3 linked regions of the Tribolium castaneum genome follow. The protein of the gene in region 1 interacts with the protein of each later gene in a pairwise test. Links are inferred from orthologs where the notes say so. Each region holds a gene or a part of one and is shown in the gene's direction. Other genes may lie near its edges. The genes, in order: Raf, Ras85D and Rap1.

Region 1 (4,329 bases):
CGGTACTCATTTTGAACAATTGTTGCATTAAATAATGTTCAACTTATAAAATTGGTTTTTATTTTTTATCACGTATGCTTTGAAAAAATTTAAAAAAGAAATAGTGCGTTGTATTGCTTGCGAAAAAGGCTTTCATACGAGGTGTCACTTGGCATACCATTAACATTTGAACAAGAAGTTAGAGGTGGCTGTGCATTTCTGACAGCAGATAAACAAAAACCATATGCATCAAATAGTAGGCAAGGAAACATAAAAATTGACCTGCTTCGGGAATTTTTACCAAAATCGCCTTAAATCAAAGTTATGATTTATATTCCAGCTGTATATTTTGCTTTAAGTAATCGTCTTTTACAAGATTGCAATGGAAGTTTTTCAACACTAGCTTAAATATCCTTATTAACTTTTAAAAGTTGTTATTATTAACGCACTATAAGTGAAGCGCATAAATCTGGCGAATCAAGAAATTAGTTTGTTTTATTAAAAACGGTAAACAGCTGGATTGAAAAGGCATAAGATTCATCGTAGCCGTGTTTATTTGAGCATGAATAAAGCCAGAGCGCATAGGTGTCGGTTGACTAATTACTGCAAATTGCTGTGAATTCAACGATCCAGTTTGTTTACGAACATTCGCAAAATGATTAAAATAACGTCGCGAGAAAATACTTCTCGTATTGCAAAAGGTAACGACGACAAATAATAATCGCAAATCTACTGTTGTTTTAGTAATTTGTATGACATTTTCAAAAATACGTAACATACTTAGTTGAATGTTCTAGTTGCACATGTTGATGGAAAAAATATCAAACTGAAAGCTGTATTAATTTGATTCATTAAAATGTTCCTAATTAGCAGCACGAGTTTATAAATCTGAGTTAAATTTACTCTAGATTGTTATGTAGCTATGCAGTATTGACATAAAAAGTGTCTTTATTTCATTTCTGCATTTTAATGTGCAAAAATTCAAAAAACTGAAAGCTGTATTAATTTGATTCATTAAAATTTTCCTAATTGGCAGCACGAGATTATAAATCCGAGTTAAATTTACTCTAGATTGGTATGTAGCTATGCAATATGAAAATAAAAAAGTGTGTTTACTTCATTTTAATGTGACAGAAAAAAAAAGAAAACACGGTAAAAAAAATTGGAAAAGTTGAAACAAAATAAAACACTTTCGTGACATGAAATTCTTTGGGAAATTTCATTGGTTATTTCTATTCTTCCTACTGGACTTTTCTTTGTATTTTCTTGTAATTCATCCTTGTTTTTTCTCTCTCTCTCTTCAGTCAGGCATATTTGAAAATATACAGCGTGCTCAAAAACTGGCGCACCAACTCAATGGTGTGTGGTAGATAAGTGGTTACATATAAAGGTAAAAGTAGTAAAAAAATTCTTTGTATTAAAGTTATTGATAAATAACTAATTTTAGGTAAATGATATGTGGCAACGTTGTCTAACAGTCATGATCGCAATAAAAATAAATTATTTTTGAAACGGTTTCCTAGGAAATAATTCCCAGTGTTGGCACATCTACAGATTGTGATTTTTTGGATGAAATTTAATTTTTTTAAATTAAAAAAACTGCTAAAATCTTATAGTAAATTTTAAAATAATTATTCATCGTTTTGTTACGGAACGATTACCTGGTGTGAAACATAAAAACATAAAAAAATAATGAAAACTAAAGAAGTTAACACAATAAGTTTGTAGCTCCAGATTTTTTAAAATATAACTTTAGCAATTTTTTCAACATTTTTCCCGTAATCTGCACTTGCTTCTCAATAACGTACCACTGAGTTGGTGCGCCAGTTTTTGAGCACCCTGTATTAATAAATCTAAGTTAAACAATAATAAATTACGCATTTTCTTTATTTTTTATAAAATAAATTCAAAGTTAATATCGGCATCAATTTAGATATCAATCGGTGGTGATAAAGCCATGGAATGTTTCAAATACATGAAAATCATGCAATAAACTTTAGATAAGAAAATGCATTGTGTTTTATTGTTTTCCAAAATGTTCCAAATGTTACATTTGGATTTGTATGACGAGAATATTCGCATTTTTTGGAGATTCTTCTCAATACAATTTTTGTTTGTTTTAACTTCTAGTGTTTTCTTTTTACTTTACGTCTTTGGAAGTTTGAATTTCTCTTTAATTTTTTTGAAAAATTGTTCGCTTTTTCGGAATTCGTCCTTTACAAAATCCCTGACTAGGTTTTTGTAATTTTTTTGAATTTGGCTTAATTTAGAAGTTTTTTCCTACGCAATTAAACAATGTGGAGTTATTTTTGAAAGTGTCGTAACATTCACTATTTGAATCTCGCAAAATTCCTGATTCTCCCTGGACTTTTTTTGTTTTGGAAATATTTATCGGAAGTTGGATGATTGCCGAATTTACTAAATAAACGTGGACTAGTCTGTGGCATTATCCAAAGTAAAATAAAGAAATGGAATGCAAAATTTTGCTTTTCGGAATGATTTGCTGCATTTTCTCCCATCCCTTGCGTTTTGACGTCGAACCAAAAATATCTCGCTTCCCCAGGTTCGTATGACGGACGCCTACTACCGGGCGCTCCTCGCCCGCTCTCCGGACTTCAGCGCGGGCATCCTGCACCCAGGTCAGGCCGGCCTGGGGCTCTCCCGCCAGCCGCGCCACCCTGGCACCCTCGGCCACCACGACCGCTCCAGCTCCGCCCCCAACGTCTGCCTCAACAACGTGAAGGGCCCCGGCGACGACTGCCCCAAGTCCCTCAGTCTGACCCGGGGCGGCATCGACGACGGCCTCCCCCACTACCACAGCACCCAGGCCTCGCCCACCGGCTCCCTCCAGCCGCGCCGACCCCGTGCTCGCTCCGCCGACGAGAGCAAGCCCCTCCTCGCCCCTCGCGAGAGCATCGAGGATTGGGAGATCCCCGCCGACGAGATCCTCGTCGGCCATCGGGTCGGCTCGGGCTCCTTCGGCACGGTCTACAAGGCCCATTGGCACGGCCCGGTCGCTGTCAAGACGCTCAACGTTAAAATACCAACGTTGGCACAACTGCAAGCCTTCAAGAACGAGGTGGCAGTACTGCGCAAAACGCGACACGTGAACATTTTATTGTTCATGGGGTGTGTTAGTAAGCCGCAGTTGGCGATCGTGACGCAATGGTGCGAGAGTTCGAGCTTGTACAAGCATCTCCACGTGCACGAGACGAAATTCGCGCTTTTTACTTTGATCGAAATCGGGAGACAAACGGCACAAGGAATGGACTACCTCCATGCGAAAAATATCATCCATCGAGATCTCAAATCGAATAATATTTTCCTACACGATGACCTAACCGTCAAAATCGGCGATTTCGGCTTAGCCACGGCCAAGATCCGTTGGTCGGGCTCCAAGCAGTTCCACCAGCCGACGGGGAGCATCCTCTGGATGGCGCCAGAAGTGATCCGGATGCAGGAGGACAACCCGTACAGCTTCCAGTCGGACGTTTACGCGTTCGGGATCGTTATGTTCGAGATGTTGGCAATGCAATTGCCCTACTCCCACATCAACAACAAGGACCAAATCCTGTTCATGGTGGGGAGGGGGTACCTCAAACCAGACATGAGTAAACTACGCTCCGACACACCCAAAGCTTTAAGACGACTCACTGAAGACTGTATCAAGTTCAATCGGGACGAGAGACCGCTTTTCAGGCAGATTCATGCCTCGTTGGAGGGACTTTTGAGGAGTCATCCGAAAATTAACAGATCGGCGTCCGAACCGAACATGAATCGGACGCAGATCCAGTCTGATGATTTTATTTATCCGTGTGCTAGTCCGAAAACACCGGTGGCGTTCGGACCGTCGAGTTTTTTTTATTCGGGAGGAACGGGTAATATCTGAGGGGAGGGCGCCAAGAGGGACGTTTAGGACGAGTGAGAGTGCGTGATACGGCTTGAGTAGAGGTTATCATTAAGTTATTGTCAAGTATTTAAATTTAAATATTGTTTTGTTTTCGTATTAAATAAATTCTTAAAAAAATATACTGCGTTTACTTATTTCCATCCCATCCTACGAAATTCGAAGATTCTGAAAATCTATCTTTGCTTTCCAAATTCAGTGTTCCAACCTTTGACTGGACTGAAAAGTCAAGACTTTGGAAACTTTTTGTTGAAATCCGAAAAAAAACTGATAAAATTTTCGATTCAATTTTATTTCGTATTCCTGGTTTTGGACCAGGGTACAGAATTTAAGTTTCAAATTAAATAAGTTCATAAAACTGTAGTGATTGTTTTTTCTTATTTGGATTATTTCCTGTCTCCCCATTAAAAACATGTTGAATAATGTTTGTCGCAACAGTAAAT
Region 2 (3,980 bases), on another chromosome or scaffold:
ATGTTGTAGGTGTAGTTGCTGGGGCCCACCATGGGATAAGCGGGCGTTGAGTAGTTGGGTTTAGATTCTTCTCCTTTTAAAACTTGCGCTAGCTCTTCCAAATCATTGATTGACTTTAGCTCCATGTTGTCGAAGGGGCTCGAAGTGTCCGCCTCGAAGTCGGAGATATTGAACGGACTTTTGTCCGTCTGGCTCCCGGACGAGACGGGGGTCAGGACAGTGGAGTAGGTTTTGACAGGCATTAACATTGATTGGTTTTGTTGGTAACATTGACTAGGGCTTGAAACTTCGATCTCTTCTTCTAGCTGATAATCGGTCTGCTCGTCTTGCCGCTTTTTCTCCTCTCTCGCTTTCTCTAGTCTCTCGTTTAACTGCTGGAACATCACAGATCGCGCGGTCCTCCACTCCTTCATTTTCTCTATTACAGTCTTTTCTAAAACAAACTCGTAATGCGGGATCGTATCTTGGATTTGCTTGTTTAAAGTGAGTCTTTGTGCGTAGGACATTGCCAGGCCTATCCGTGGAGGGGGCTTGTACTTTTCGGATATCTTCACTCGGACGTTGTCCATGGAACCGCCGGGGGTTTCTTGCTGTTTGTTCGACATTGTCACAACTGTCGGGGGATCGCCTTACATGACAATTTTTTCAAGGAGATTACTCACCTTAACCTTACACAACTGGGACACTTTTCCGAATTTCAGGAGCTAACAACACAGAAGTTACATCGTTAAGTAAAGGAAAGGCGCGGTTTTGATTCGTCCTGCTTGCAGAAAATCAACTTCGAGTAATTAATAACATTAAAATTAATTCTTTACGAATATTTTTTATCTTTGTCATCTGATGACATATTGGCTTTAGGGGATTTGGGCCGTTGGCCACACTACACAATGCTCACAGAGGTGGGCAAAATAGAGAGACCCTTCTCGACTTTGACAACGAATAAAAATTCGAACCTATCGTATAACTCACGTTTTTGTGGATTCTATGCAATAAAATTTGTTCGTGAGGGGTTTAGACCATGTTATGGTGCGTCGTTTCTAGGCGTTTGGGGTACAAAAGAGTGGTTGACGTTGTTTACGTCTGTGGTGATGCTATGATGGGTGGGTTGTGAAGCTGAAGGTGTGTTGGCAGCATTGTTTAGTAGTGCATTTGACGGTCTTGATAACTTTTGTTACTCTTTCGTTCTTGATTACAATTAATTAGAGTAATTTACTGGGCATACGAGTGTTCTTAATTGCTTCAGTTTAAATGTGTGCTGTGTTGATTTTATTATGCTGGGATAACGAATAAGAAGACCTGCATAGCCTGCAAAAATTAATAAAAAAAATTAAAAACCGTGTGCTTCTTGGTATTTTCGTTTGCTTAGCCGTTTTGGTATTTTCTACATAAAATGACTGAATACAAACTAGTAGTAGTTGGAGCAGGTGGTGTCGGCAAATCAGCTTTGACCATACAATTAATCCAAAATCACTTCGTCGACGAATACGACCCTACCATTGAAGACTCCTATCGAAAACAAGTAGTCATCGATGGGGAAACGTGTTTACTGGATATTTTGGATACGGCAGGACAGGAAGAATACAGTGCCATGCGAGACCAGTACATGAGGACAGGGGAAGGTTTCCTTTTGGTTTTCGCCGTTAATTCAGCTAAAAGTTTCGAAGACATTGGAACATACAGGGAACAAATTAAAAGGGTTAAAGATGCCGAAGTCGTACCAATGGTACTCGTAGGAAACAAATGCGACCTCACTTCGTGGGCTGTAGACATGAACCAAGCCAGAGAGGTAAAATTCTCACTAAACCAGACACCTGGCGCCTAAACAAACCAATTGTTCTAACGTGTTTTTAAGACAACAAAAATCACACATTTATAGCAATTGAGTAGGTTTCCTCATTCAAAATACGTCAATAGGTGTTGGTGAAAGAGGAATGCAAAAACAAATGATTGATGCTGATGACTCACTAATATGTTTATATCACAGGAAAGAAATTAAGTAAATATTTCTACCAAATCTTATTATTATCTGAGCCGAGTGGTTTATTTAAGAACATTCCACTTGTTTTTCCCATTTATCCACCTTCCTGGATAGTAGGTTCCTGTAATTTGACTCTCGCTGTTGCTTAGCAACTGATACAGGGTGACTCATGGTTGGGCGAGTGTATCTTGATTTTTTCTTTCTAGCAGGAGTTAAAGTAATCTTCGATCTACTCAAAATATCACATAAAATAGCTTTTTTCTCGATATTTCTTCATTATAAAAATGCGAATTTTGTTTAGGTGGCGCGGCAGTACGGGATCCCGTTCGTGGAGACGTCGGCGAAGACCAGGATGGGTGTGGACGAGGCATTTTACACGTTAGTTAGAGAAATACGTAAGGACAAAACGAGAAGCGGTAAACGCCAGCACAGGTACATCGGCGGCCACGGTCGTGTTCCTTTTAAGTTGCGATGCACCATCCTTTAAGACAGACTCATCGTTTCGATGACCAGCAAAAAAATTTAAAAAAATGGGATCGTGTTTTGCTTCGCATTTTTCTCCTCTGTGAAAGTGTGATAGTGTAAAAAGTAATAGGGGGGAGCGACGCTTCACTCTTCTCCCCCGATTGTTATATCATTTGACAATTCGTGTGCGTGTTTCCATAATTCCAGTGTGCGAAAATGTGTAAGAGGAAGCTTATGAAAGAAGTTTTTTTATGTACCACGTTTTGCTTTTAGTTCAAGTGTGTCTTTTCTGCTCAGTATATTCTTACTTGTCGATTCTTAAATTTGCTGTAAATACTTTTTAGATATTATATTGAAAAAGCTTCGGAAACATTTTTCGTCTCTTTGCACAAATTTTTGTTTTAAAGAGGATAAATACACGGTTTTATATATGTCAGATATTAAAATTTTATATGTATATTCTGAATGTGATGTATATTTTATTGATAGTTTTATTTAGTTCTGACGAGAAATTTGTACAGTTGCGCAACATTTTTGGCGAGAAAAGTTGATATTAAGATTATTGTTTCTAACGGATTTCCTTTTAATTATGTAATATCTCAGGAATAGCATATCATGTATAGTTTGCGCACAAATTTGTATGTGCCTCAAAGAGAACTCGTTCTCTTCGTTTTTTGTTGATATTAATGTAGTTATCCTCTTTAATGAGAATTTTTTGTCATGTTTCTGGATACGATGAATAAACTAATCGCTCATCTGCCTCCCAATTGAACCAGTTCGTTTTGTTTTCGTTTTATTCCTCGTATTCTGGCATAAAGTATAGTTAACTTCAAGCAATGATCAATCGTTAAAGAAATATAACCAAGTTTAAGCTTAATCTTGGTCTTGACATGTTATTCCCCGTTTTTTCATATGAGATTTTTCTTAATGTTCTACTAATCTAGTTTTAATTTTGCCTTCATATATTATACAAAAAGAAGAAAAAACAAAATAAAAATATATGTAGCAATTTAGTTTATAGATATGTCTACTAAAATTCTCTTATTAATAAAATGTTAAATATTTACACACCTCGTTTTATTCAACAACTTTATTGAAAACTATAGACCCAAGAAAAAACCTACAGTTAAAATATAGCAGTGCACCTTATTAATTAAACAAAAAGAACACAAACAAACTGATCAAGGCAAAGATAGTGGGCGGAAGTATTGACGGCAATACAACGCGATCGTACTCAGAGGTTTATCTTGGGGCTCAAACTGTCTATTATTCCTTTCAGTCGCACGATAATAAGCCGCACTGTATTGTTTATCAAACGCATTCAAGTCGATATGACTCCTCCCCAGCGCTTTACACGCCAGAAACAAGATGTCGCGATAAATCGAAATCCGGTTTTTCCCCTGATGCGGACCGTGTGACTCACGCTCCGACGCCAAGTTCTTCAAAGGCTCCGCCAGGTCGTTGAGCCGAATACTGACGATCACTTTCTGCATAAACCTGCAACAACCCAGCCACTAAACCAATCCACCCCAACCAA
Region 3 (4,176 bases), on another chromosome or scaffold:
ATTCCAATCCTTTTAATGAACACATATTTTACGATACGAGGAATTTCCTTCTTGCAATTTTTATTAAACATAACTGTATTCATTCTTACCTTGATTAAGCCAGAAATATTAAGCGATACTACGAAATTAATTAAAGCAGAAATGAGTTATTTATTTTATACAAAGAATTACTTTATTAAAGTCGTTTCGCTTGGCGTTTAAAAACACATAAATAAGGGTTGTTTCTTGACATTTCCTTTCACAAAAAATTTGTGAACGAGTGATCTGTTTGCGGGAGCTCACATCCAAGCAGGTTTGCAATATTTTTTACCGTAAAGCTTGTTTGGGCACTGACATTATTGTCAAATAGGTTTTTACATAATTTGTTTTTTATTTAAAATCAGACTAGTCTAAAAATTTTGTCTATAAAACTGAGGGATTTAAAAAAGACTGTCTTTACAAAAAAGGTAAGTAAACGTCTGATTGTTATTAAATACCACGTAATCATTTGAATTTATCATTAGAGTATGCTGTAATAGATTTTTAACATACTGATCGAGCTGAAGGGACAAATAATAAAATTTCGAATAGTAATATTCAGTTAGGATACATATTTTTCTCTTAATTTGCACCAGTTTATCAAATACAAAGAAAAAAACTGCCTACTTCCTCCTCTATAAATTTAAATGATCGCATGGTATTAATCATTTATTCTATACATCTCGAATTTATACCCTAAATATAATTTATGAGAAGCCGGTTTTTCGAGGTGTTACGTCTTTAATTTTTAATTGAACACGTTTTGTGCCTAAGCTATGCATTTTACGAAAAAACTAATTAGTACATTAGTAAATATTTTAAAAATACGATCATTTATGAAGATTTTTTTTTGCGAAATTTCAAAACTCTAAATTTTTTCTTCAATTGGTTTTGGAGGTACAAGGTTAACTTGTTTTTTTTTTTAATAATACGACTGGTAGATTAATATTTATTAATATTCATTGATTTGAGATTCATTTAATAAGATAATTTATGTAATTAGTATTTTGGGAATTGCTGTTTTTCTTGTGATGGTGGAAATATATCTCAGAGTTATTGTATAATTAAAAAGATATATTATTTTTTTTAATTACGTAACCAAACTTTTTTGGGAATTGGTGTTTCTGTTGTAATGGTGGATACATCCTTCAAAGGATTTTGATTTATAAAGGGTTTGTTCAAAAATAATAACAAGTTTTCGATTTTTGAGTTTATTTATTATATAATAAAAAAGATATGAATTCTGGAATTATGTAACAAAACTTTTGGGAAGTGCTGGTCTGTGGCTTTGGTGTTGGTGGTGGCCTCTCTGTTGCGAGTGTGGAACTCTCGTTGCGTTTTCCTGTCTTATCGACCGTTCTTGTCTCGGGTGCGGCATGGTGGCATGCGCTTGGTGAAACGAAGGGGTGAAGGGGGAGCAGGGAGCAGAGTAATTGCCATTGCCAGCAGCTCCAGCTATACGCTATATCTATAGCTAAAGCTAATACACCTACCATCAACTACCAACGGCATCGCCCGATCCTGAAATAACGGTGTTTAGCCCACGGTAAGTTTCCCATTTTCATGTAAATCACGCCCAACTCCTCCCAGAGCACCCTTGAGAGTATGAGCATATCCTTGAAAAGGCAATGCCGTAAAAAACTGAAATAGTTTCACCTAGTGAGTATTTGTTGAAGCGTTGAGCCATGACAGTGTAAATTGAAGTGGTTTCGGGCCGTTCTGACGTTAAAACCGAAAACGGAGTGCAGTGGACGAACCTGTGACCGGAAGCGGCACCGCGGTGGCCCCAGGAGCTGGACACCCAATGTATGTATCGTGAGTTGTGACAGGGGGCGCAAATCCCGCCTAATTAGCCCCGATTCGTAGAATTGTTTGCAAATCTGCATGGATTGATCACTAGGTGTCTGCTCCATGTGCGCTAGCATCCTGTTGGGTTGTGGTTAACCACCGAGATTAGGCCGCTTTCGTAGTTTCGCTTACTCACAACCGCCCGGAATTCGGCGATTTATCTTCACTCGATTTTCGTTACAGATAGACTGAAGTTTTTGTGCAACTGGGAAAATGCGTGAATACAAGATCGTCGTTTTGGGGTCCGGGGGTGTAGGGAAATCGGCACTCACCGTGCAATTTGTACAAGGAATCTTCGTCGAGAAATACGACCCTACTATTGAAGATAGCTATAGGAAACAAGTCGAAGTCGATGGGCAACAGTGCATGCTTGAAATTTTAGACACAGCAGGCACAGTATGTCCCACATTCCGCCTCTCATAAACACTGCATTTCGAAAAATTGTTTTAGGAGCAATTCACGGCGATGAGGGATTTATATATGAAAAACGGGCAAGGTTTTGTTTTGGTTTATTCAATTACAGCACAATCAACATTTAATGATCTACAAGACCTCCGGGAACAAATTCTCAGAGTCAAGGTACATTCAATTTAATTGCAATTAATTACACACACTTTAAAACCGATGACTAATTGCCTCTAAGGTCACTATTTAGTTCACGTCACACGTAAACACGCTCTTTTAGATGCTAAAATTTGCGACAAAAACCGAATTTATTGCATATGTATCAATCCATATCAATGTTACATTCATTATCAAAATAAAACCCAAGGTCAACATGAGATTGATCACTATTTATGTTACGTTTCTAATCTACATATTGGAAAAGTTGACCTGCTTTATTACTCATTTCCACCCTTCCACCTATTAACACGTCGTTGTTTTATATTTTTAACTCCTTCAGGTTCACTTCACACATGTAAGCAATACTTTTACCACTCATAACTCTTATTATTACGTTTTTTACATCTGCACATGTGTAGAGGTCATTGATCAGCACCTATTTTATTTTACATGACAAAATTTACATAAAAGCTTCGTTTAATGATAAACAGAATATAATCTACTGATAATGCAAATATACAGGCAACTTCCGGCTAATGCTTCCATATTTTGTGTACCACTTTTTCGCGTCAGTAATTATCTAATTTTTTTCGTAAACTGCGTAACTAACTGGCATTTTATTTAGTATTTAGTTGTTTTCATACAATGAAAATTATTAATTCTCGATTATTACCATGGGCCACTTTTTCTTCGTAACAGTGGGAGTTGTTATCGCTAAATTGATTGTTACATCTATTTTTCTGTTTTTATTTGATTATTTTTTACTTATTTATTACACTGTTCAACAAGTTTACATTTTTCTTCTCTTCATTAAAAGAAAGAGTGCATAGTTTGGTATTTTTGGCCAGCATACAATTCTATAAAAATATCTTGTTTGTTTTTTTAATAACTTAGTTTTTTGAACAAGAAATTTTTAATAAAGTTGTGCAATCGTGCATCACCAAAATTAGTTTGAATTGCGGTGCAAAATACAAAAAGTGTTATGTGAATGAGCTAGTTAGGGTCAGTTGTAGAGTTTTGTTTTTGTTTGTCAGGACACCGATGATGTTCCGATGGTGTTAGTGGGAAATAAGTGTGATCTGGAAGAGGAAAGAGTGGTAGGCAAAGAACAAGGAAACAACCTATCGCGCCAGTTCAACTGTGCCTTCATGGAAACCTCTGCCAAAGCTAAAATAAATGTTGTTGATGTGAGTATTGTGCTGCGTGTCGGATTGTGCAGTGTTTTAACGCTGTGTATTGTTTTAGATATTTTATGATCTAGTTCGACAAATCAACAAAAAATCACCTGAGAAAAAACAAAAGCAGAAAAAGAAACCGATTTGTGTGCTTCTATAAAAATGTAATGATTTGGAACCAAAAAGTACATTTAATGATTTCAAAGACAATTGTAAGACAAAGTGTGTAAGCGTGAAGGCAAGTGCGGACGTGGAGAGCTTCTTCCAGTGAAGGGTAGTTAAAGTCCTGTATATTCTTTTTATTAAATATTTAAGTATTTGTATTTGTAATTAATTATAAAATATATGTCAGTTAAATTTCTCCAAAATCAAGGTTGTTATTGACTCTAGATGCAATTCTATTTAGTGATAGAGTATTTTGAAATCTACTGCCAATTTTGTGGTGTCAAATAGGGATAGCGATGTGTGAATCAGTGAGCCAAGACTAGTGACGGGACAATACTTCTCTGACCACAGCGTTTTAGGGTGTTTTATATTCCTACATAGAATAAGCCTAGTTAACAGGTTGGGT

Evidence for each region.
Region 2: the proteins of Raf (region 1) and Ras85D interact in a two-hybrid assay, tested with the Drosophila melanogaster proteins (2 studies listed by BioGRID). The link is inferred for Tribolium castaneum from reciprocal best matches to the Drosophila melanogaster genes Raf and Ras85D.
Region 3: the proteins of Raf (region 1) and Rap1 interact in a two-hybrid assay, tested with the Drosophila melanogaster proteins (2 studies listed by BioGRID). The link is inferred for Tribolium castaneum from reciprocal best matches to the Drosophila melanogaster genes Raf and Rap1.

What each region holds. Positions count from the first base shown.
Region 1 is NC_087400.1:7,671,105-7,675,433, forward strand, and holds the end of Raf (raf homolog serine/threonine-protein kinase Raf), read left to right. Parts: intron 1-2,542; coding exon 2,543-3,868; 3' UTR 3,869-4,008; downstream 4,009-4,329.
Region 2 is NC_087397.1:5,188,436-5,192,415, reverse strand, and holds Ras85D (ras-like protein 1), read left to right. Parts: upstream 1-1,152; 5' UTR 1,153-1,390; coding exon 1,391-1,786; intron 1,787-2,279; coding exon 2,280-2,465; 3' UTR 2,466-3,509; downstream 3,510-3,980. Other genes in the region: uncharacterized protein LOC663430, read right to left, coding at 1-605; DENN domain-containing protein Crag, read right to left, coding at 3,625-3,940. UniProt on the Drosophila melanogaster protein: Ras proteins bind GDP/GTP and possess intrinsic GTPase activity. Plays a role in eye development by regulating cell growth, survival of postmitotic ommatidial cells and differentiation of photoreceptor cells.
Region 3 is NC_087403.1:4,584,601-4,588,776, forward strand, and holds the start of Rap1 (ras-related protein Rap1), read left to right. Parts: upstream 1-1,371; 5' UTR 1,372-1,564; intron 1,565-1,678; exon of another isoform or gene 1,679-1,824; intron 1,825-2,049; exon of another isoform or gene 2,050-2,053; 5' UTR 2,054-2,079; coding exon 2,080-2,262; intron 2,263-2,316; coding exon 2,317-2,445; intron 2,446-3,464; coding exon 3,465-3,617; intron 3,618-3,675; coding exon 3,676-3,765; 3' UTR 3,766-4,176. UniProt on the Drosophila melanogaster protein: Ras proteins bind GDP/GTP and possess intrinsic GTPase activity. Plays a role in photoreceptor cell determination.